Macaca mulatta: one gene and its partners. The protein of the gene in region 1 binds, or shares a complex with, the protein of each later gene. Links are inferred from orthologs where the notes say so. Each region holds a gene or a part of one and is shown on either strand. Other genes may lie near its edges.

Region 1 (3,500 bases):
ACTAGAGCCCAGCTTTAACACTGTCCTTCAGTTTCACACTGCAGGACCATCTGTCACATTTAAGAAAGGTCCTTCTGTTACTTTCAGTTAAAAAAACAAAACAGAACAACTTTGGTCAGGTCCCAGATGCATTTGCCTTATATTACATTCTGTGTTGCTGCAAGACTCTAGTCTACAGAGATCCATATATAAGTACTCATTTGGTTTGAAAATGCATTTTACCATTAACTGCAAAACTTAGAAGAGACCACAATCTTTTAGATTATTTTTTATGATGACATCTGTTACAGCATCAAAAACAAACTGCACATTCTTAGTATCTGTGGCACATGTGAAGTGGGTGTATATTTCCTTTGTGTCCTTTCTTTTATTGAGGTCTTCAAACTGACATTGAATATATGCAGCTGCCTCTTCATATGTGTTTGATCCTGAGATGGAAAAAGGAAAGAAATATAATGTAGAAAGTTAAAATAACTGCTTAAAATACTGAAGTCAGTTTCATACAGCTTCATTCATGGACTCCTTAACTGTGCTTTCCCTTCTAGAATGGGAGACACTATTTCTTCTACATGAAAAACACTCCATGTTAATTACCTTTAATGACTGTAAGTTATCCCTAAAATTAAACAAAAAATTTCCTCTACATGGCATTCCGTGTTCATCATGATCTTTGTTCCTGCCTCAATCTCCAAAGGCTAGATCTTTTATCCTCTTATCTTCTGTCCTCTACACCCCAACTCAGATGCTTGATGACGGCATGCTATTTCAGTTCTGGCTCAACGGTGGATCAAAAAATGTTGGCTGAATGCTGATCAGTATTTTTTCCTCCCTTTTCTATATATACATTAATTAGCATTCTTCACTCATTTTTCTTTATTCAAAAATTGTACCAAGGTCTACAATGATGTTTAGGAGTATGAGGTTACAAAAAAAGTGAATGACACACTCCAGCTTTCAGGTTACTGACTAAAAAAGACTCCCTCTGAGTACAAACACTCCAGAAATTGTTTGGCAATATCTAAAGATAATCACACACACACTCTGACCCCGCAATTCAGTTTCTAGATATACACTTGACAGAACTGTGTATCACTGAAGACACAGAAGAAGTGAGAATGAAAGTACTACTGCTATACTCAATAACTGAGTTCACTCATAAGTGAACTATTGAGCAAAAGCAGCTAGATGCAAAAAGATCATATACTGTATGATACAACACTGTTTGAAAAATGAATTGGTGAGGACAAAAGTCTCACCAATTAATAGAGTCTGTGGCACATGTGAAGTGGGTATATATTTCCTTTGTGTCCGTTCTTTTATTAAGGTCTTCAGTGATTATCAGTGAGTAATCAGTGATTACTCTGTGTATGGGATGTGAGTGTGTACGTGTGTGTTGCGGGGAGGTTTTGATTGGTTAAGACTCGGAGGAAGCATGATGGGACTTTCAGGGGTCTTGAAACTGTTTGGTTTCTTGACCTGAGTGGTGGATACTGGTATGTTCACCTTTAAAAATGCACTTATGCTGAGGGTGTGTGTGTACATATGTACGTACATAATATACATAATGTATACAATGTAATGCTATATGTAATGCTTCAATAAAAAAAATTAATCATCCAAAATTATCTGCCAGGCTTTCAAGGTCTTCTACTATCCAGCCTGCTCTGCAGTGCCATCATTCTGAGATCCTCTCCTCCACACTGGTGCTCAACCCAGGTCCATGTCATGAGGACCCAACATGCAAACTGCCACCTGTGGTACTGCAGTACTTCCTCTTCATTCTACTTTACCGGCTGAGATCTCTGCCTGCCTTCACATTTGCTCAAAATTGGCACTCCATCTAACTTTTCCTAATTAATCAAATCTAGCTGGGTTCTCTATCACTTAAAAACTTTTGTCTCCTCCTAGAAATAACTATTTCAGTTTTTGTTATACTGCTTTAAAGTCTTAAATTCTTTTTCAGTGTTGAGTCTCCTAAACTAGAATGTGAACTCCTCAAGAGTAAACATCACACCCCACCAGCCCCATACTCCTTTTATATCTTACAGAATCCAGTATAATACAATGTGACAAATGCCCATAGGAATGTTGTGTAATGTGCTATGATACAGATTATGAGATTTTTATTAGGGATAAAAAGGTAATAAAGTTATTGTCTTTAAGTTTACATTTTAACTATTTTATATCACTAGAAATCACATACTTTAAAAAATCAAATTTTATTAAATCCTAAGTTTCGTTCTCCAAAATTTTAAAGCAATTAACAGCATCTTGTTGGCCCACAGAAGCTAATGCAACTGCTAAATTAAAATATATTTCAGCCAAACAGCTTACATTGAGTGCCTACCTCAATTTGCTCTACATATCCTAGGCAGCTAGCTAGATTACCCTCAAAGTACAAACACATATGAATGAACATTCTTCATTCTGATTTTAAGTCTTAAGAAAAGAATGGCAATGCAGGGACACGAGAGCAAATATGGTATTTTTTTTTATGTGAGATAGAATTATCCTGAACAAAGGTAAGCACAGGTGATAACCAGGTTCAAAAATGAAGAACTGGGAGGCTGATGACACAATCAAAAAGGAAAGAGAAGAGATCTGCGTTTAAACAAGAAGAGGAGTTCTGTTTGAGCTTCGGGTGCTAAAAAACCAACCAACCAACCAAACAAACAACAAAAAAACATGTATGTTCAAGCAGTTGGTAATGCAAATCTAAGGCTCCAGAGATAAATTAGGGCTGACCATAAAATTTAACCTATTGAGAATAGCTATGACTACGAAAGGATAGAGAGCTAAGATGACATGACTGCAGATGAAACTGGTAAAGTGGCAACATACAGTAAAAAGAAGAGGAGGAGAAGGATGACACATGAGCAGACAGACAGGAGATAAATCAAGCAAGTTGCTTAGGCGCTACACAGGGTTCTTCCATAGCCATAGGAAATTGAGAGTTGCGGCTGAAGCAAGAAGCAACTGAATCAATACTTAGGGCATGCCATGGAGATCTTAAATAATAATCTTAACTCTGGAGATGTGAAAGAATTATGTAATATTCTTTTTGTGCAAAGATTCTGAAGTCAGGGATTATTAAGCAAAACACAAGCAAAAATTCCTAAACACACTGTCTACTTGGCAAGGAAAGAGCTAACAAGTATATTCTTAGTTCTTCTGAAATCCCTGTAGCTATACAATATTTATGGATTCATTTGGGGCTCTGGTACTATGAATTAATACAAAATGGCTACATCATAGAATATGATAAAAATAAACTAAAAAATATATTCAAATAAGGGAAAAAATAAGCCATCTTGACTCTGGATAACTTATTTCTAATAAGCACAAAAAAATGTTCCTGAACACAGTGATTCAGGACTATGACTTCCAAAAAGAAAGCAAAGTTTTAAAGTAACTGTGTGAAATTAGTTTGAACTGAAGTATAATTTCACAGTACGCAAAAAGAGCTATAACAATTAACATGATTATATTTACCAAAGAAC
Region 2 (4,198 bases), on another chromosome or scaffold:
ATAGGATGTGGCACAGATGTCCAAGCCGACTCCCCCAGGGTGCATGGCTGGGTGGTGCAGAGGAAGAAGGCTTCTCCACTTCTGAGACTCTGTGGGGAGAAGGGGTGGAGAGAATTCAGAACAGGGCTGGGCCCCACAGCCTGAGCCTTCCCTGGGAATGGGAGTTTGACTCCTGAGCCCACTGCCCTCCCCGGTTCCCTGGCAAGGCAAGAGCTGCTCCCCCACAGTGGAAAGACGGCAGGGCAGCAGGGAGGAGAAGGGTGTGGATGACGTGAGGGTGTGGCCAGGGGCAGGAAAAGGGGGTCCCCCAGGGAGAGCTCAAGGGTCAGCTGGGCCCCATCCATGTCATGGTTGAGCTTAGCAGTTCTCAGGGGCCACCTGGGCAGGGGTCTGGAGGTCTGGGGAACAGTTAGGTGAAGAGAGGAACCACAGAGAGAGGGACCCACCTCCTGGCACCGCCAGATGTCTGTGAGGCTCAGCAGTCCCCTCAGCGGGCTGATGGAGGATGCCCGGGATGAGCAGTGAGCCGGAAGGGGAGGAGGGCGGGTGGCAGGGCCATTAGCCTGAGGTTCTAGCAGCTTGGGTGAGCAGCTAATGGGGCATCCCGGCTGGAGGTGAGGCCACACCAGAGGAGGTGAGGGGCTGGGAAGATGCTGGAACACAGAGGGGCTAGGGAGGAATCGGGGTCCTGTCTGGGTAGGGACCGGGTGTGTAGCCAGTGCCTTGCAACAGCAGGGCTTGGGGGCTCGGCCACAACCCAGTGCTAGTCCCTCCCCGGCCCTCCTGCTTGTTTATACCCGCGCTGGGGCCAGGTCTGCTCCACCCTCGATGCACCCCTGGGCAGGCCCCGGGTCTCACTGGCTCACCTCTGACAACACAGGGTGCCCCGTGACCGCAGCCATGAAGCCATCTCCACGTGGCAGTGGGTGTGTGGGATAAGGAGTGATCACACCCAGGTGCAGCTCTGCACAGGTTGTGGGCTTGTTTTCGTTTTTGCAAGGAGGGGCCCCTCTGTTCTGCCTCTCCTTCCCCTCTAGTTCCAGGATGGTGACTTCTGACCTTTCCAGGGCTGGAGAAAGGAGCAGGAGGAGGAAGGCAAGGGATGGGGGCAGCCTCTGCTGGCTGGCACTGGAGGACCCAGGTTGTGGCCCCCACTTTGCCTGACAAGGGGTGGCACAAATGTCCAAGCTGACTCCCCCCAGGGTGCATGGCTGGGGACATTGGGGGGCACTCCCTGAGGCACAAGGAATGTGGCACCGGCCGGCTGTGTAACTTCCTTCTCTCAGCCCTGGGAATCCTCCCAGCCTTTCATGTTTCCCATTTGGGTCACCTGAGTCTCCCAGGAGGACCTAAGGAAGATTTCTAACCTCTCTGGATGCTCTCTCAGGTGTGCCCATGCCTGCTGGTGAGAAGCCAGCTCTGCTCTGTGATTCTGCCCCTGTCTCTCACTGTGCCCATGTCTCTGTCTGTCTGTCTGTCTGTTTCCTGCCTGAGAATGACAACACAGCCTCTCCACATCAGTTTTCTCAGGCATGTGTCGGTCACCTGACCACTCTGCCCCTTCCAAATTCCAGGTCTCCCATCATCAGCCTCTCTCTGTGTGGCCTCCTGGCAGCTCCAGTCACCAGGCTTCAGGGGGAACAGCAAGGGGGTCTCAGCCTGTCACTAACTCCCTCAAAGACACCATCTCACTGCTTTTCACACCTTGGAGTCACTAAATTGGTCCATGCTCTCCTTTTTCTCCCCCAGCGGGAGCCGCGCATGGGGTGTAGCACCCGCTGTGAGCAGAGAATCGGCCTCCTACTGTTCCGTCTGTTGTTGGGAACCGAGAAAGGGACAAAACCGAGGAAGAATCCAAAGCAGTGCCATTTCCCCTCCTATAGCAAAAGTGAAGCCCCGGGGACCTGTTGGGTTTTCCAGATCATCTCTGCTTTGGCTCCACCCACCTGGCGTCTGGATCTTTGCCCAAGGTCACCTCCTCCAAGGGCCTTCCCGGGTGCCTCAGCCACACTGATCCCTCCCGTGAATCTCACTTTTGTTGTCTGTCTTCAGTGCGACATCGTCTTGGCTGGCTCCTGAGCTAGAATGCCGGGCCTCCTGAGGGCAAAGGCTTTGGTCTGCTTTGTTTACTGCATGTTGCACAGCAGGTGTTTGGGAACCTAATTGCACGATCCATTATCTGGACCCTGGGAGGACGGTGAGAGCTGGGGTTGTGGAGGGCGGCGGCTTGCGTCTGGAGTCCTGGCCGCCCAGCTTCCTGGGCACCTGTTCTTCATGCTTCAGCAATGTCTATTGATGGCCACATCTCATGGTCAATCAGCCATGTAGTAGGTTTATGTCAGCAGCTGTGCTGAGGGACAGGGTGGGAAGGGGAAGACGCTCGATGGTTGCCAGGGAGCCTGAGCCAGGCCCTTCAGGCTTAGGACTGCCTCAGCTCCCTTCAGGGGGTCTTGCCTTAAAAACCCTTGGCAGCCCTAGACTACAGATCCCCAAGGTTGGTCCTATGCCTTATCTTTTTGGTGCCCTAACAACTGGCTCTGTACTGGGTGCATTTCCAGGTGCTCAGTATCTGTGTGCCGAGTAAATGAAAAAAGGGTTGAATGACATCAGACCTCATTTTGGGCACAGACACCCCAATACCCTCCCTGTCTCATTTAAACAGTTGTTGTTGTTGTTGTTGTTGTTTTGAGACGGACTCTTGCTCTGTCACCCAGGCTGGAGTGCAGTAGTGTGATCTCGGCTCACCGCAACCTCCACCTCCTGGGTTCAAGCGATTCTGCTGCCTCAGCCTCCCAAGTAGCTGAGATTACAGGTGGGAACCACCATGCCCGGCTAATTTTTGTATTTTTGGTAGAGAGAGGATTTTGCCATGTTGGCTAGGCTGGTCTTGAACTCCTGATCTCAGGTGATCCGCCTACCTCGGCTTCCCAGAGTGCTGGGATTACAGGCGTGATCCACCACGCCTGGCCTTTAAATAGTTCTTAAAGTCTCACCTGCCTCCAGAAAAGTTAATGGTGCTCATGAGAAATCAAACAAGGGACAAAGTGGATTGATGGGGAGATCAAGGCCTCCCTGCACCATAATTCCTAGAGTTACCATCCAGGTACTGAGCAGAGATGGGAGGGAAAGGAGGATGGGAAAGGAAGGTGGCAGTTTGGGGAAACCTGCCACATGCCAGGAGCCGATCTCCTTGATGGTCAGATAATCACACCCCTGCCCTCTAAGGAGAATGGGCCCCTTTGCCGAAGCAGGTGAATGGGTGGAGAAAGATCAAACCTGAGAAGCGAGAGGGGAGCTGGGGCACCTAACTGGAAAGTCTGAATCAGTGAAGAGAATTAGGGAACGGGTGCAGAGGACCTTGAACGACAGATAAGCTGTGAGGTTTCTCAGGGTGGCTGGTCTTCAGGACTTTCTCTGGCAGCTATGGGTTGTGCAAGAACTGAGTAGCGTCACTTTTGGGAAGAGCCGATTTGAACTGGCTTCCCCTTTTCACATTCTTCGAGAAATGCAAATAAAGGACGGGGGTTTGTTTTCTGGGGGACTTTCAGTTTCTGTGCTGGGTCTCAGTGTGGCTCCAGCATATATAAGACGATGCCTCACTTCCTATCGTGGGCCACCTGCGTGGTAGGCAGTGGTCTCTCCCTCTCCACTTTACAGATGGAGAAAACGAGGCTCAGGCAAGCTGGTGAACCCTGCCAAGATCACCGGGCTAGTTAAGCCAAAGAATCAAGATTCAAGCTCTCACGCTTGTCTGCCTGCAGAGCCAGTATGCTTTTCCTAACAAGACACCAGACTCTCTAATCTGCTGGTCTGATCACTAAACCACGGTGACTCCATTTCCTTCCCCCCAGGCCCCGTGAAGCCTTTCCCCTCTCCTCATCCCCACTCTGACTCCACAGACTGAAAAGCGTTCGCTGGTTCTTTGAAGTGGCATCTGAGCCATTTTTATTGTGAGCTCTGTCTCCATGGCATGTTAATCCATACCAGTGTGTCCGTCTCAAACCCGGAGTCCTTGGAGTCAAGGGGCTGCTGTTATGTACGCCTCCCTGTGCAATGCCTCACTTCCAGAGGGGAAGCCAGGCCAGAACCGGGCCCTTTCCTACTTCATTTCTGTCCTTTTCTGGGCTCTCCCCCAGAGGCAGAAACTGGGCATAGTATTTGTGACTGGGGATGTCAGATCAGGGGTAGGGGACCAGAG
Region 3 (4,044 bases), on another chromosome or scaffold:
GTCTGCCTTTCTCTAGTGCTATCTCTGAAGTCAACCCACCACATACAGCAACCGAAGCCGCAGATAGGATATCCCTGAAAAAAAGGACAATTAATGTAACCACTCACCCTGCCATCAGGAGCGACACTGTTAGGGATGATACAGAGCTGCTCCGCAGAGGATGGGTTTGTGATAGGCAAGTAAAGGATACTGGTGTCTCCTGGGAAACATGCTGTGATCTCAATATGGGCTCTGCATCTTGGTTATCGGAAATATATGTATTCTCATTGTCACAGACTTAAGTTATTAATACCAATGATTTAAGGAGCCAGACTTCAGTATGGAAAGGACTGAAGAAACGTTTCTTAAAGTAAATCCAAACTCTTCAGTAAGACAAGGCCTGATTAAGAGTAGAATGGGTGCTGTAGGTTTTAAGTACCTTTTGAAATCTCACTCTGCTGAGATCATTTAGTTCAAGTCAGTACTACAATTGTTTGTGACTATCACCAATAAAGCCAGTGGTCACATAAGAACTGGTTAAATTGCAACACTGTAGCAGTGGCAGGAATTGATGTCATTTAGATATAGTGTTATTTATTTATTTATTTTTCCGGTGCTGGGCTGTAGCAGACACATCGGGAGGTAGGAAAGATAGAAGAGAGGATATGCCAGCAATTGAACATGCTCATGACCCTCCCCAGTGACGCTCTCAAATTGGGAAGGATTCTGTAGACCCTGCCAGGATCACAGAAAAGCCCAGCCCTTTGTAGGAGGCAGTGGGGGAGGGGTGCTTTTCTCCTTCCAGCAAAAGGAAGCAACTCCTACTTCCCTCAACCACCTTTCTCACGGTGGGCAATCCAAATTACTGAGTAGGGAGCCACGGCCTGACAGACCTGCTCTAAATACTCAATAAGTCAGGGACAGAAGGGGCCAATGTCAGAACCAGGAGGGCCGATTTCTCCCCCACAGAGCCAGGAGTTGTCTCCCTTTTGCCTCCCTGTTCAGGGAATGAATGTTTATGATGGCTGCAAGGGACAATGTCTCAAAAATATTAAATGCAGTTTTCTAATCATAACCTGTTCTTCCCTAATATATAAGCTTTTCTTCAAAGGACACAATATTTTGAACAATGTATTCCAGAAAACAGCCACCACTACCGAAGTGGCTGAGTTAGAAAGCTTACTTCTTCTTCATAATGTTATGTTTCCCATTTGATGGCTGGATACTCACCGTTGGAGCAGTTTCTTGTTTGTTTTTTTAGATAAAAATCCTAGAGTCAGCCGGACGCGGTGGCTCATGCCTGTAATCCCAGCACTTTGGGAGGCTGAGGCGGGTGGATCACTTGATTTAGGTCAGGAGTTTGAGACCAGCCTGGCCAACATGGTGAAACCCTGTCTCTACCAAAAACATAAAAAATTACCCGGGTGTAGTGGCACACACCTGTAATCTCAGCTGCTTATGACCCTGAGGCAGGAGAATCCCCTGAACCTGGGAGACGGAGGTTGCAGTGAGCCTAGACTGTGCCACTGCACTCCAGCCTGGGTGACAGAGCGAGAGACTCCATCTCAAAAAAAAAAAAAAAGAAAAAAAGAAAAAATTCTAGAGTCACAGACCACACCAAATAGATATTACCATTTGCTAAAAATGGTCTGACTCCTTAAAAAAGCATTTTTAAGCTATACAATTGTTTTTCTGCTGCTATCTTTCCATTTTAATTCACTCTAATATTTGAATTTGCCCCCAAGGCCCAACTTGAGAGACTGCAAAATTAACAGGTCACCGAGCTCCCTCCTAGGCTGAAATGGTCAGCATGCCCCATGACCTGTGAGGGTGAGAGTTCAGACACCGACCCCTCCTCCCGCACTCTGGTTTTCTTTCTTTGAAGACCTGACTAGGGGAATATTGAAACGAGAGTGAATTGAAATAGGAGAAATATTTTCAGGTTTGCAACACGATTTAGCCAAACCATTGCTTTAATTTTCACAGTTAATCCCAGGAATTCCCAGTCTTCAGAAAAGACTACAATATTTCAAAGCAATTTAGTGCAGTCCAAGCAGAATCTGCAATTTCTGCATTTACACTCTGTCCACTGGAATTGGGTCTTCAGATGACCTGGAGATAAGTTTTTGACACAAAACCTACTGAAATGCTTCCATTGATTAACTCATTTTTTCAGCAAGGATTTTCTAAGCAACTACTACATAAAGCTACAGTGCTTGGCAAGGAAGGAAGTGGGGTGTCAAGCACAAGTGGTGTTCTGTGGCCTGATGTGGGCACCTCTGGAAAGGCACACATTGGAGCGCGACGGGTAGCGATGGCATCCAGCAGCGTGGGTTCCCACAGCGCCAAAAAGCGCGCCAGTAAAACTTTCCGTAATTCCCTCTGTGCCAAGTGCATCCTGGGCAGTCGCATTTCGGAGGGGCAGAACTCACCCTAACTTTTGAGTGCAGAGTCAAACTTAGGGACTAGGTTAGAGTGAAGGGAAAGGGGAGCCCGGGCTGAGGAGGGAAAAGGCAGCGCATATCCCGGGGTCAGGGACAAGACCAGAGGACAAGGAAGGGCCCGACCCCAGCACCCAGCATCAGGAATGGTGCTCACCTGCGTTTCGGAGCTTGCGGTTCCTGAGCACGGAAAGGATCACCAGGAGGTTGCCCACAACGTCCACGGCGGTGGTGACGATGAGCACCACGGATAGCGCGGGAGCCACCCAAGGAGGTCGAGGGGTCCTGGAGGGTTGCCCCCTGCCAGTACCCAACCAGCCTGGGCGCACTGCCCACCCGCCGGCTTCGCAGCAATTGGCGAAGGAGCCGTTATCTGACATTGCAGACTCTCCCGCGCTGCGCTTTGGCCACCGCGCGGCCTCGGACAGCCGCAGGGCTCGCGCAGTACTGAGCCGGGCGCTCCCTTCCCTGTCCAGCTCCCGTGTGCAAGGGAGGAGGCCAGTGGGGAGGGGTCTGGAGGAGATAACTAATTAAGCGTGGGCAGGGGATGGAGAAAAATATAGGAATGGGAGGAGGACTTGGGGTGCAACCGTTGCAGAAAGGAGTGCGTCCCTCAGCGGTGCGCTCAGGAACAGCTGGGACCACACAGCTGTCTCTGCCACCCCGCCCCCAGCACGTGCCTAGCTCATCTCAGGCCGCGGAGCACGTCTAGCCTCTGTTCCTCGGTACACAACTACACCCGAGACCCCGATTTCCTCTACAGCGTCCCCAAGAGAAGCTGTGTCCAGCTAGGAACATCCAACCCAGGTTTATAGACTGGAGAAGGTGCTGATGGTCGGGACCTCCCAGTTGTCAAGCAAGGCAAGGTTTGAGGTCCCACAGGGCTGTGCAGCTCGAAAGAGAATGCAGCTCCTAAGATGTGGGGACAGAGCCCAGAACAAAGTAGTGTAGACTTGTATTCTAGGGAGCTGCAGAAAAATAGGAACCTAGCCATTTTCCGAGCACTCGCTGGGTATTGCAGGGGACATTAGTGATGTCTCTACTTGGTCCTCTTTATAAAGCCAATATTTTAGTATATTTACCAATATATATTTACACATAATACTTAAATAGATGTATGGCCAATATTGGGGGTTGTGATGTGGTTTTTGGAGGGGTTAGGACAAGAAAAAGAGTGAGGCATGATTACAATAAAGAAGGAACTCGGGTGCCCTTTATTAAAAGTGCTTGAGTCGTGATCTGGTGATAATAATAATAGATAACTTCTCTTGGGGGATAATCTTATGCCAAGTTTGTCCTAAGCACTTTTCACACCCACTAGAATCACTAAAATCAAAATGACTGATTATCCTAAATTTGTGGAGGAATTTAAGCAACCAGAACTCTCATACAGTGCTTTTATGAGAATGCAAAATGGTACAACCACTTTGAAGAGCTGTCTGTTAGCTCCTAATAAAGTTAAACATACACCTATTCTATGACCAGAAGTTCCAAATGAAAAGGAAATATATTTCCACAAAAAGACGTGCACAAGAACGTCCAGAGCAGCCTTGTTTATAGGAGCTCAAATCTGGAAACAGCCACAATTTCCATCAACAGAAGAAAGGATAAACAAATTGTGGTA
Region 4 (4,155 bases), on another chromosome or scaffold:
CCCCCAGGGCTCAAGTGATCCTCCCACCTCAGCCTCCTGAGTAGCTGGAACTACAGGCACACACCACCACGCCTGGCTAATTTTTGTATTTTTTGGTAGAGATGGGGTTTTGCCATGTTGCCCAGGCTGGTCTCAAACTCCTGGGTTCAAGTGATCCTCCCTCCTTGGCCTCCCAAACTGTTTGGATTACAGGCATGAGTCACTGCGCCCAGCCCCTCTCCTCTTACTCCACAGGGCTGTCTCAGGATGCTGGTGGCATGGGGCAGAGAGGGCATGATGACTGTTCACGGGCACAGCAGCTGCTCGAGGAGGAGGCTGGAGCCATCCTCACATAGAGGAGAAGCATGCACGGTGGTGGCCCTAGCCCTAGGGAAGGGCAGGCCGTACCCTTCCTCAGGAGAGCGAGCGGCCAGCTGCTGTGGCCCTCACATGGAGCGTGAGGGCTGGCCCAAGCACCTGGCCATCAATGTCCTCAAGCAAAGGGGAGGGCAACTGCCTAATAATATTACCTTTTAGCTATCTCTCTAGGCAGGTTCCCCTACCTGAAAAGATTCCCCTGGCTTCAGAGTGTTTGAAGATGCCTGAAGTTCTAACACCAGAGATGGTTTCCTGCCACTTCCAGGAACAGGGTCTGTTCTTAGTCCCATGTGGAGTTCCTCACGGGGATCCCATTCCCCAGGAATCCAGGTTTCACAGTCCTCTGACTTGGGCTGGATGGTCTCGGCTGGCACTTTCCCTAGGACTGCAAAAACCACAGTGCGGTGCGGGCGGAGAGCTGAGGGCCGAAGGCGGGGTGAGTGATCCTCGGGAGAGGGAGACAGGCTTGGCTGGAGCCCTGGGGAAGGGCTGAGGGCTCTGAAGGGGGCTGTGGAGGAGAGGTAAAAGGAGGGAGGGACACAGCCCTTGACAGGGCCTGTGAGGCAGGGGAGGACAGGGAGCAGGTGCCATGGGATGGCGGGGGTGGGGGGGCTGTGACTTTGAGGGTGTCGTGTTGCACGTGCTGGGGGTGAGGACCCAGAGACTGGAGGAACAGGGCTCCAGGGCAGGTGCACGGGCAGGCAGAGAGGACAGCCCATGGTAGATGGGAGGGGCACACAGGTGTGCTGTTTTCAGGTTGGCAGGAGAGGAGCAAGGTGTGTGCGGGGAGGCCCTGGAGACTGGAAGAGGAGAGAGGGCTCAGTGAGTGAGGGATCCTTGTTAGAACCTGGGGGTGGGAAGGGGCCAAGGTGGGTGCCCACCACCCTAGACTGTCCCTCGGGCCTGTACTGTGCCCCACTGTGCAGGTATCACCTGGCCCCAGGAGAGAGCAGCTCATAGGTACGACTGACCACTCTGCCTGGCATGGTGGGGGCCTGCCTGTGCTGGCTCAAACCAGTTTTAGCCCCATTTTACAGATTAGGGAATCAAGGCTGAGTGTCTGCTAACTTGCCCTAGGTCACTTGACCAGGGGACATTGGCCCTGGAGCTGGAAGTAAGACCAGGGAAACCCTGGTCCCCCAGGGGACTGCCTTGCCTCTGGAGACTGCCAGGGCGCCTCGGCCAGGGCAGGAGTGTGACTCGGTCTCAGAGCTTGCCATGGAGTTGTCTCCCAGGCTCAGCACCTCCTCCCGGCCCTGGGACCACTCCCTAATTTTAGGGGCCCGCGTGTGGAATGAGAATGTGCAGCCCCTTGCTCAAAAAGGAAGAGTTTCAAGACAGTGACAACAGAGTGTTACTGGGCTTGGGGCCCTGAGTGACAGCAGGGCTAGCATATCTCATGGCACTAGGTGGGCCTGTGGTGCCTCCTGCCTCCAGCCCTGGAGTCTCAGCCTGGGCACTGCCCTCCGCTTCCTGCCCCGGCCGAAGGGCGTCCACCTCGCCCTCTCTGGGACTGAGACTCACTCCATCTTAAACCGCTTCCTGGTTCGTTTCAGGTTTGCTGAGGTTTCTCCTCCCTTTCTGTCCCTCGTTTGAGGAGTTCTGATACTGGTTGCTGCAGCTTGGTCTGAGATGGGCCCTGTTTCACTCTCCATTGCCCTTTAGAAACGAACTTCAGCCTAGACTCACTGGTTCCTCACGGCTCACTGCTCAGATGGCCACTGAGCGGGTGTTCCTAAGAGGAAGGGGCGTGGAACGGGCCAGGGCCTGGGCAGAGTTGGGTCCCATGGCTGTGGGTGAGCTGAGCGTCTAGGACAGGTCTCAGGCCTCTGTGGAGGTGGCGGGTGGGCACGCGTGGCCTCAGGGAGGGCCTGTGGTAGCAGCTGCCATGGCCAGGTGGTGGCAGTTACCTTTGCACTAGTGCCAGTCCATCCCTGGCCTGAACCCTCTCCCAGGCATCTGGCTCCCGTATGGGTCAAGGCTGTCTCATGGTTAGGGGCAGGGGTGCTGCCATTGCAGCCTGGACTGCGGGCAAGCCACTTCCCCTCTGCAAGCCCCCATCAGCGGGACAAAACACCGCTTTGTGGGCTGCTGTGAATTCAGATGGGTCAGCCTTCAATGCACAGGTCAGACCATCACCAAAGACATGGCACGAGACAGGCTGCTGCCCGTCTCCCTGGGCAGGGTTCCCCGCTGAGTGTTTCCTCTGCTTAGTCCTGGGCTCCCAGCCCGCCGCACCCGGCCTGCCCCTTACCTCTAGCCGCTGGTCCAGGAGGAAGGGGCAGGGGTCTGTGGGGCAGCAGGTGATCTCCGCCCGTGGGTGTCGGTGGCAGAGGGCTCTGTGCCGCTGTGGGTGGAACGCTGGCTATTTAAGGGAAGAAGGGAGACCACAGCCCCTCTGGCCCTGAAAGGCTGCTTCATTCCTGAGGGGTTCCTTGTGTGGCGGCCGCTCCTCTGGCTGCGGCTGCTGCCACCAGAGCGTGAATATTCTAGTGTGTCCCTAGCCCGTGCCCCCCGCCCCCAGCTTGGCCACAGAGGCTGAGTGTGTGACTGTCTCAGACTCAGAGCAGGCGGGGGCTGGCTGGGGGGCTTAGGCTGGAGCTGAGGGACACAACAGGACGTTTCAGAAGGGGATGATTTCCTACTGATGGGGGGCAGGGAGGGGCCGGCTGCCATGGCAACAGGCGGCGCTCTCAGGCCTGCGCCCGCAGACAGCGGAGGGGGCCTGTGATCGGAGGGTGGGAGTCCGAGGAGGATTGCTCACTGAGTGAGAGGCGACTCTTTGAGGACACTTGCTGTAGGGTCCTTGTGTCCTGCCCCGTATAATGAGGCCCCATTTGGGCATGCCGAATAAATCATGGCCTTTATCTGGAGCGAGGCACAGCTGCAGGAGCCTCATAATGGGGCGCTGTCCTGCCCGTGGGGATGCGGCTCAGCTCAGAGGCCGGGTGCCCGCCGGTGCAGCTCCCCTTCGGCACGGGAGCCCGTGAATCCGAAAGCTGGCCACGGGGCTCCTCCCTGGCCTGGCTCCCGGCTGGGGTGCCTTTGAGTGCTGCCGGCGGCCGCCTCTGAGACTGAGTGAACAAAGTTCGTTTCTGTCTTTCTAAAAATGATACATCCAGCAACATGGGAAGCCAAATCGCCTTTCCTGGTTTCAAAAGACTTTACATTTTGTTGTTTAAACATTGAAAACTGTATGTATGTGGCTAGCATTTCGGGGGCCGTATCTTAAATTTGTCTCTTTGCATCACCCCGTGCAGCTGGGATTATTGCCCCATTTCACAGACAAGGAAACTGAGGCTCAAGCACATGAAGAAACTCACCCATCAGCCAACAGTAGGAAGCGACAGAGCCAGGATTTGAACCCAAGGGCGTGTCCCTCCAGAACTTAGGCTTCGTGTGTGTGTGTTTTGTTTTTCTGCTGCATTTTGAATTTAGAATTCTTAGATTCGATCCTAATTCAATCTGAAAAATAATTCTGAAGGTCACCGTTAGATCTGGTGCTGTGATGTGGTCTGTCGAGAAGCTGTTTCCCATCTGGACTTCCTACGAGAGAGATGGGCTTCCCAGTCTGTCTGGCCTGAGAGCCAGCCGGGTGCGAGGTGTCTGGGCCAGTGCGCAGGTAGAGGTGTCTGAGCCAGCTGGGTGCGAGGTGTCTGAGCCAGGGCGCAGGTTGAGGTGTCTGAGCCAGCTGGGTGCGAGGTGTCTGAGCCAGGGCGCAGGTTGAGGTGTCTGAGCCAGGGCGCAGGTTGAGGTGTCTGAGCCAGCCGGGTGCGAGGTGTCTGAGCCAGGGCGCAG
Region 5 (3,959 bases), on another chromosome or scaffold:
GCAGCTGCCATGCATAGTGGCCGGGAGGGAAGGTAGACAAAAAAATCACAGACTACAGACCTGCAGGCCTCAGGCAGGTCAGCCTGGGGACTGAGCCAGGTTATATAAGGTCCCTGTGCTGACCTTGTCTCCCCAGTTGGTAAGTGTTTTGAGCCTCTAAAAAGGGATGGATTTATAAAGATGGGTATGGATAGAAGCCGAAAAACCTGCCAATCCATCCTGCCCCATCATGAGTCATAGGGTTAAGCACCCAGGAGTGGCACTGAGCCCGGCTTTTCTAGTGTCTGGTCACAGAAGCCCATTCACCCCTGTGCCAAGTAAGGCCCTTCTACTTCTACACCTAGCCTTTCCTCCCCACTAGCCCTCACTCTCAGAGGGGAAGGAGCAGGCAGGGTCGTGAGGATTCACTGGGCATATGGGGGCTCTAACCTCTTTAGGGGCCTCGCTGCAGATGAACTCCTCAAAGATCCGGTGTGCCCTGGAGGCCCGCTTGGTAGCTGATTGGATCTTCTTGAACTCCTCACAGGCCAGCCAGAACTCCAGGTTCTCCTCACTGAACTCCGTCTTGAGGAAAGCGTGGAAAGCAGCCACTCCATCTGGGGTTACAGGAAAGAGGCGGAAACAGGTCAGCCAGAGGGACAGCAGGGAATACAAGAAGAAAGGAAAGCAATTGCACGTAATGGCTCTATTTTTAGAACATAATTTTCTTGAACAAGGACCTGCCTTTGTGTGTTGAATAGAGGCTGGCACACTAGGGGATCATTATTATTATTATTACTACTACTATTATTCTGCCCAGGCTCTCAGCAGTCCTGGAGCTGGTTCCAAAGCACATGAGTATACACGTGCCACCCAGAGACAGACACAAAAGGCTCCTACTCACTTTTACTGCTCAGCAGCAGGTCGAACGACTCTCTCCACCCCAGCACATCTTCTGAGAAGTTTCTACTAAAAGACAAAAAGAAAAAAAAAGAGTAAGAAAAAAAAATCAACAAACCAAAGCATAGTACAAATTCTAGCCAGAACTCTGATGGAAAATTGCGTAAAATTCACAGAAAGGCTTGCCTTGGTGATTGTTGAAGCTGACACCTCAAACTCCTAGTTGGACTTAGGGTAAGCAGTAATGTTTTCTAGAGGACAATTCGGCAACCAGAAATCAAAGCCAGGGACTCCTTTAGTCTTCAGTTAATATCTCTAAGCCTGTCTCTTCTCTGTCCAAAAATTATTTCAATTCCCCTGACTCTCAAAGATTTGTTTTGTACACCTTCCCAAGGACATAAGGGCCTCATAAATAGAGATTACATCTACACATAACTCCAGAGTTTGGTACAGTTGATAGCCAATATGAAAGGGTTTCTAGGCAAGGTGCATGCTAGAGTCATTAATAAAAACCTCAAGTGGCCTTGGACTCTGTCCTAGCCCTGGATGCATGTGCAATGAAACCCCAGGTGGGAGAGTCTGGTTAACTAGGCATTCATGCCCTGTGTGCCCTCATCCGTGGATAGACTTGGAGCCCTGGAGCCACCTACCCACTCACCCATGAGCCAAGTAGTCATAACAGACCAGCAACAAGTCTCACTAAAATCTCTAGGGAGGCGTTGCCAAGATCCACTTAGTGTGTCCTGGCTTCTCCTTATATTTCCCTCCTTCCCGCTCCCTTCCCTCTCGGAGCCCTGAGCTGGTCAGCAACACTTACTTCTCTTTGCCGTGTTTACTGCCCCACTCGAACTTGCCACTACTCCCAGTATCACAGCCCAGCTCTGATTTGTGAAGAAAGATCCCCAGACGTGTCTTGAACTCTTTGGCTCTGAAAAACAAATCAGGAACATGAAAGGATTCTCATTTGCTCAGCCAGTGTGGAGAGGTTTATGTGTCCCAGAAGAGCTCTGGGTGGTGCCACCCAAAGTTTAGCCTCAAGAGTTCCTGGAAACTCTTGGCTGTTCCCAGGACCCAAATTGTGCTTATCAGTATCATCAACCCCAAAGCAACAAAAGCAATGTTTGAGCTATGCCGTGGTAGACCTTACACTTTCTGGGTAATACACACGCTCATATATGGGCTTTTCCCTAAAGTCACACTGATCTCTCTTCGTGCCTGTTGATTCAGAAAAGAACTCAGCATTCTTTTCAGGAGTATTTCTGAACTGTGGGAAACTGATTCCTGCCTTCATCTTTACGTTTTCCTTCCCAGCCAGTAACGACTGGAAGCTGTTGAGTTGCTCTCTGGAATATGGACACACCCTCAACAGTGGGATCCCCCTGCCCCACCACACCCCACAAAAAAAAAAAAAAAAAAAAAAAAATCTCCCTGCCTTCCAGGGGCAGAGGAGGCAATGCCCCTAGCTCTGGTCTGAGGAATGAAAAACAAGTGCTTAAGCAATAGGCAGGCTCAGTTCTGCCTGGAAATGTCAACGTGGCCTTCCTGCAGCCAGGTCTTCAGCAGGTCACCTGAGCACGACTGCAGTTTGTCAGAGGATGGGGATGGCAGCAAGCAGCGGGCCCTTGCTTCCCTTCCCCTTGCTTTCTCCCTGCTCCTGGAATCTAAGCACGTGGCATCAGGTTCGCCTCTACCTCTCTACTTAAGCCTCCAGCGCCCCATCCCCGCGCCCACCCAGGTCCCCAGGCCTGCCGCTCCACTCCCTAAGAGTTGGTGGGACTTCCCGCAAGCAGTTGGACAAGCTCCCCTTACCTCTCCAGGCAGGTGGTGGGGAAGGCGGCCAGGGTACGGCACATGGCTGCGGGCGCGGGGCAGCACGTAGCCGGCAGGATGGTGGCAGGCTCCAGGAGGCTCCGCGAGCGCTAGGAAGCAAAGCGCGGTAGCAGGTGCTAATCAACTGGGGTTGGCTTTAGCAGCCTGCAAGCACCCAGACTTCGCGGCCGCTGCTTTAATCCCCTCGGAGGAACGGGGCTGGGCACTGCTGACCAATCGGAGGGCGGGGCTGGACACTGAGAAGGCGGAGGCGGGGCCCACAGCCAGACTGGGCCGGGCGCAACTTTCGCCGCAGCTGGAGCACGCGGAGCTGCACCCTCCCTCCGGAGGACGCCGCGTGTGGAAGGAGAAGCGGCAAGAGAATTGGCACGGGGATGAGACGTGCACACCCAGTTTCCTAGGGAAAAATACCTGCTGACCTCTAGTAACAACAGAAAACTCACGCAGCGGTGTCGTGTTGCAAGAGATTCCACGGGGCTGGTGGGTCTGAGAGGCACACAGGGCTTTGATCGCAGGTAAGTCTGAGCCTGCTGGGTCCTGAAGGACAGGCGCACAGGGTGCAAACCTGGCAAAACAGTTTCTTTTTTTTTTTTTTTTTTTTTTTTTTGAGACGGAGTCTCGCTCTGTCGCCCAGGCTGGAGTGCAGTGGCCGGATCTCAGCTCACTGTAAGCTCCGCCTCCCGGGTTCACGCCATTCTCCTGCCTCAGTCTCCCGAGTAGCTGGGACTACAGGCGCCCGCCACCTCGCCCGGCTAGTTTTTTATATTTTTTAGTAGAGATGGGGTTTCACCGTGTTAGCCAGGATGGTCTCGATCTCCTGACCTCGTGATCCGCCCGTCTCGGCCTCCCAAAGTGCTGGGATTACAGGCTTGAGCCACCGCGCCCGGCCAACAGTTTCTAATTATACTGATAAGTACCCTTTACGAGGCTCCTACCCCGATGGACATGGGGCTAAGTAAGATCTTCTTCTTCATCATCATCTCCATTTTATAGTTGAAGAAACCGAGAATCAGAAAGCTAAATAAACTTGCTCAAGATCACAGTTGGAGATGACAGACAAATGGGATAGGGATGAGTATTTTATTGAACACCTACTATGTGCCAGTCACATAACTAAGACTCATATTAAATAACTTGCTCAAAGATGTGCAGCTAGTAGGTGTTGGCTCCAAAATTCAAATGTGAATTTACCATTCTTTTTCCATTGCACCCTCCCCGCTCCCCCCTCTCCCCCGCTCCCCCCTCTCCCC

The links. The genes of interacting proteins can lie anywhere in the genome.
Region 2: the proteins of GNAI1 (region 1) and FFAR1 are in contact, whole or in part, in a cryo-EM structure (PDB 9K1C), measured with the Homo sapiens proteins. The link is inferred for Macaca mulatta from reciprocal best matches to the Homo sapiens genes GNAI1 and FFAR1. Residues at the interface, in NP_002060.4 of Homo sapiens: Glu28, Ala31, Arg32, Leu194, Asp315, Thr316, Lys317, Glu318, Tyr320, Phe336, Thr340, Asp341, Ile343, Ile344, Lys345, Asn347, Leu348, Asp350, Cys351, Gly352, Leu353, Phe354; in NP_005294.1 of Homo sapiens: Arg37, Thr39, Pro40, Ser41, Leu100, Gly103, Arg104, Gly107, Ala108, Pro111, Leu112, Tyr114, Gln115, Arg118, Arg119, Cys205, Leu209, Ser212, Gly213, Leu214, Thr215, Arg217, Arg218, Arg221, Ala222, Val225, Ala226, Tyr278.
Region 3: the proteins of GNAI1 (region 1) and MTNR1B are in contact, whole or in part, in a cryo-EM structure (PDB 7VH0), measured with the Homo sapiens proteins. The link is inferred for Macaca mulatta from reciprocal best matches to the Homo sapiens genes GNAI1 and MTNR1B. Residues at the interface, in NP_002060.4 of Homo sapiens: Arg24, Arg32, Glu318, Ile319, Tyr320, Phe334, Asp337, Ala338, Asp341, Ile344, Lys345, Asn347, Leu348, Lys349, Asp350, Cys351, Gly352, Leu353, Phe354; in NP_005950.1 of Homo sapiens: Arg138, Tyr141, Ile142, His149, Arg150, Arg154, Ile223, Val227, Ala230, Arg231, Lys233, Ala234, Lys235, Thr252, Met253, Asn312, Asn314.
Region 4: the proteins of GNAI1 (region 1) and GPR17 are in contact, whole or in part, in a cryo-EM structure (PDB 7Y89), measured with the Homo sapiens proteins. The link is inferred for Macaca mulatta from reciprocal best matches to the Homo sapiens genes GNAI1 and GPR17. Residues at the interface, in NP_002060.4 of Homo sapiens: Glu28, Arg32, Lys192, Asp193, Leu194, Asp315, Thr316, Glu318, Tyr320, Phe336, Thr340, Asp341, Ile343, Ile344, Lys345, Asn347, Leu348, Lys349, Asp350, Cys351, Gly352, Leu353, Phe354; in NP_001154887.1 of Homo sapiens: Thr92, Ala94, Asp156, Arg157, Ala160, Ile161, Pro164, Val165, Leu168, Lys169, Arg171, Arg172, Pro173, Leu247, Leu251, Arg252, Val253, Glu254, Leu257, Lys260, Ala261, Met264, Ile265, Ala329, Glu330, Lys331.
Region 5: the proteins of GNAI1 (region 1) and RGS16 are in contact, whole or in part, in a crystal structure (PDB 2IK8), measured with the Homo sapiens proteins. The link is inferred for Macaca mulatta from reciprocal best matches to the Homo sapiens genes GNAI1 and RGS16. Residues at the interface, in NP_002060.4 of Homo sapiens: Val179, Lys180, Thr181, Thr182, Gly183, Ile184, Val185, Gln204, Ser206, Glu207, Lys209, Lys210, His213, Ala235, Glu236, Asp237, Glu238; in NP_002919.3 of Homo sapiens: Glu86, Phe87, Ser88, Glu90, Asn91, Ala126, Pro127, Glu129, Val130, Asn131, Ile132, Asp133, His134, Leu162, Lys165, Asp166, Ser167, Arg170.

What each region holds. Positions count from the first base shown.
Region 1 is NC_133408.1:139,270,389-139,273,888, forward strand, and holds part of GNAI1 (guanine nucleotide-binding protein G(i) subunit alpha-1), read right to left. Parts: intron 429-3,500; coding exon 238-428; 3' UTR 1-237. UniProt on the Homo sapiens protein: Guanine nucleotide-binding proteins (G proteins) function as transducers downstream of G protein-coupled receptors (GPCRs) in numerous signaling cascades.
Region 2 is NC_133424.1:46,625,733-46,629,930, reverse strand, and holds the start of FFAR1 (free fatty acid receptor 1), read right to left. Parts: upstream 2,801-4,198; 5' UTR 1,947-2,800; intron 1,070-1,946; 5' UTR 867-1,069; intron 654-866; 5' UTR 447-653; intron 90-446; 5' UTR 1-89.
Region 3 is NC_133419.1:93,824,639-93,828,682, reverse strand, and holds the start of MTNR1B (melatonin receptor type 1B), read right to left. Parts: upstream 2,801-4,044; coding exon 2,578-2,800; intron 1-2,577.
Region 4 is NC_133417.1:9,632,012-9,636,166, forward strand, and holds the start of GPR17 (uracil nucleotide/cysteinyl leukotriene receptor), read right to left. Parts: upstream 2,801-4,155; 5' UTR 2,612-2,800; intron 794-2,611; coding exon of another isoform or gene 467-793; exon of another isoform or gene 1-466. UniProt on the Homo sapiens protein: Dual specificity receptor for uracil nucleotides and cysteinyl leukotrienes (CysLTs). Signals through G(i) and inhibition of adenylyl cyclase. May mediate brain damage by nucleotides and CysLTs following ischemia.
Region 5 is NC_133406.1:40,066,430-40,070,388, forward strand, and holds the start of RGS16 (regulator of G-protein signaling 16), read right to left. Parts: upstream 2,801-3,959; 5' UTR 2,733-2,800; coding exon 2,689-2,732; intron 1,808-2,688; coding exon 1,697-1,807; intron 949-1,696; coding exon 884-948; intron 597-883; coding exon 430-596; intron 1-429. UniProt on the Homo sapiens protein: Regulates G protein-coupled receptor signaling cascades. Inhibits signal transduction by increasing the GTPase activity of G protein alpha subunits, thereby driving them into their inactive GDP-bound form.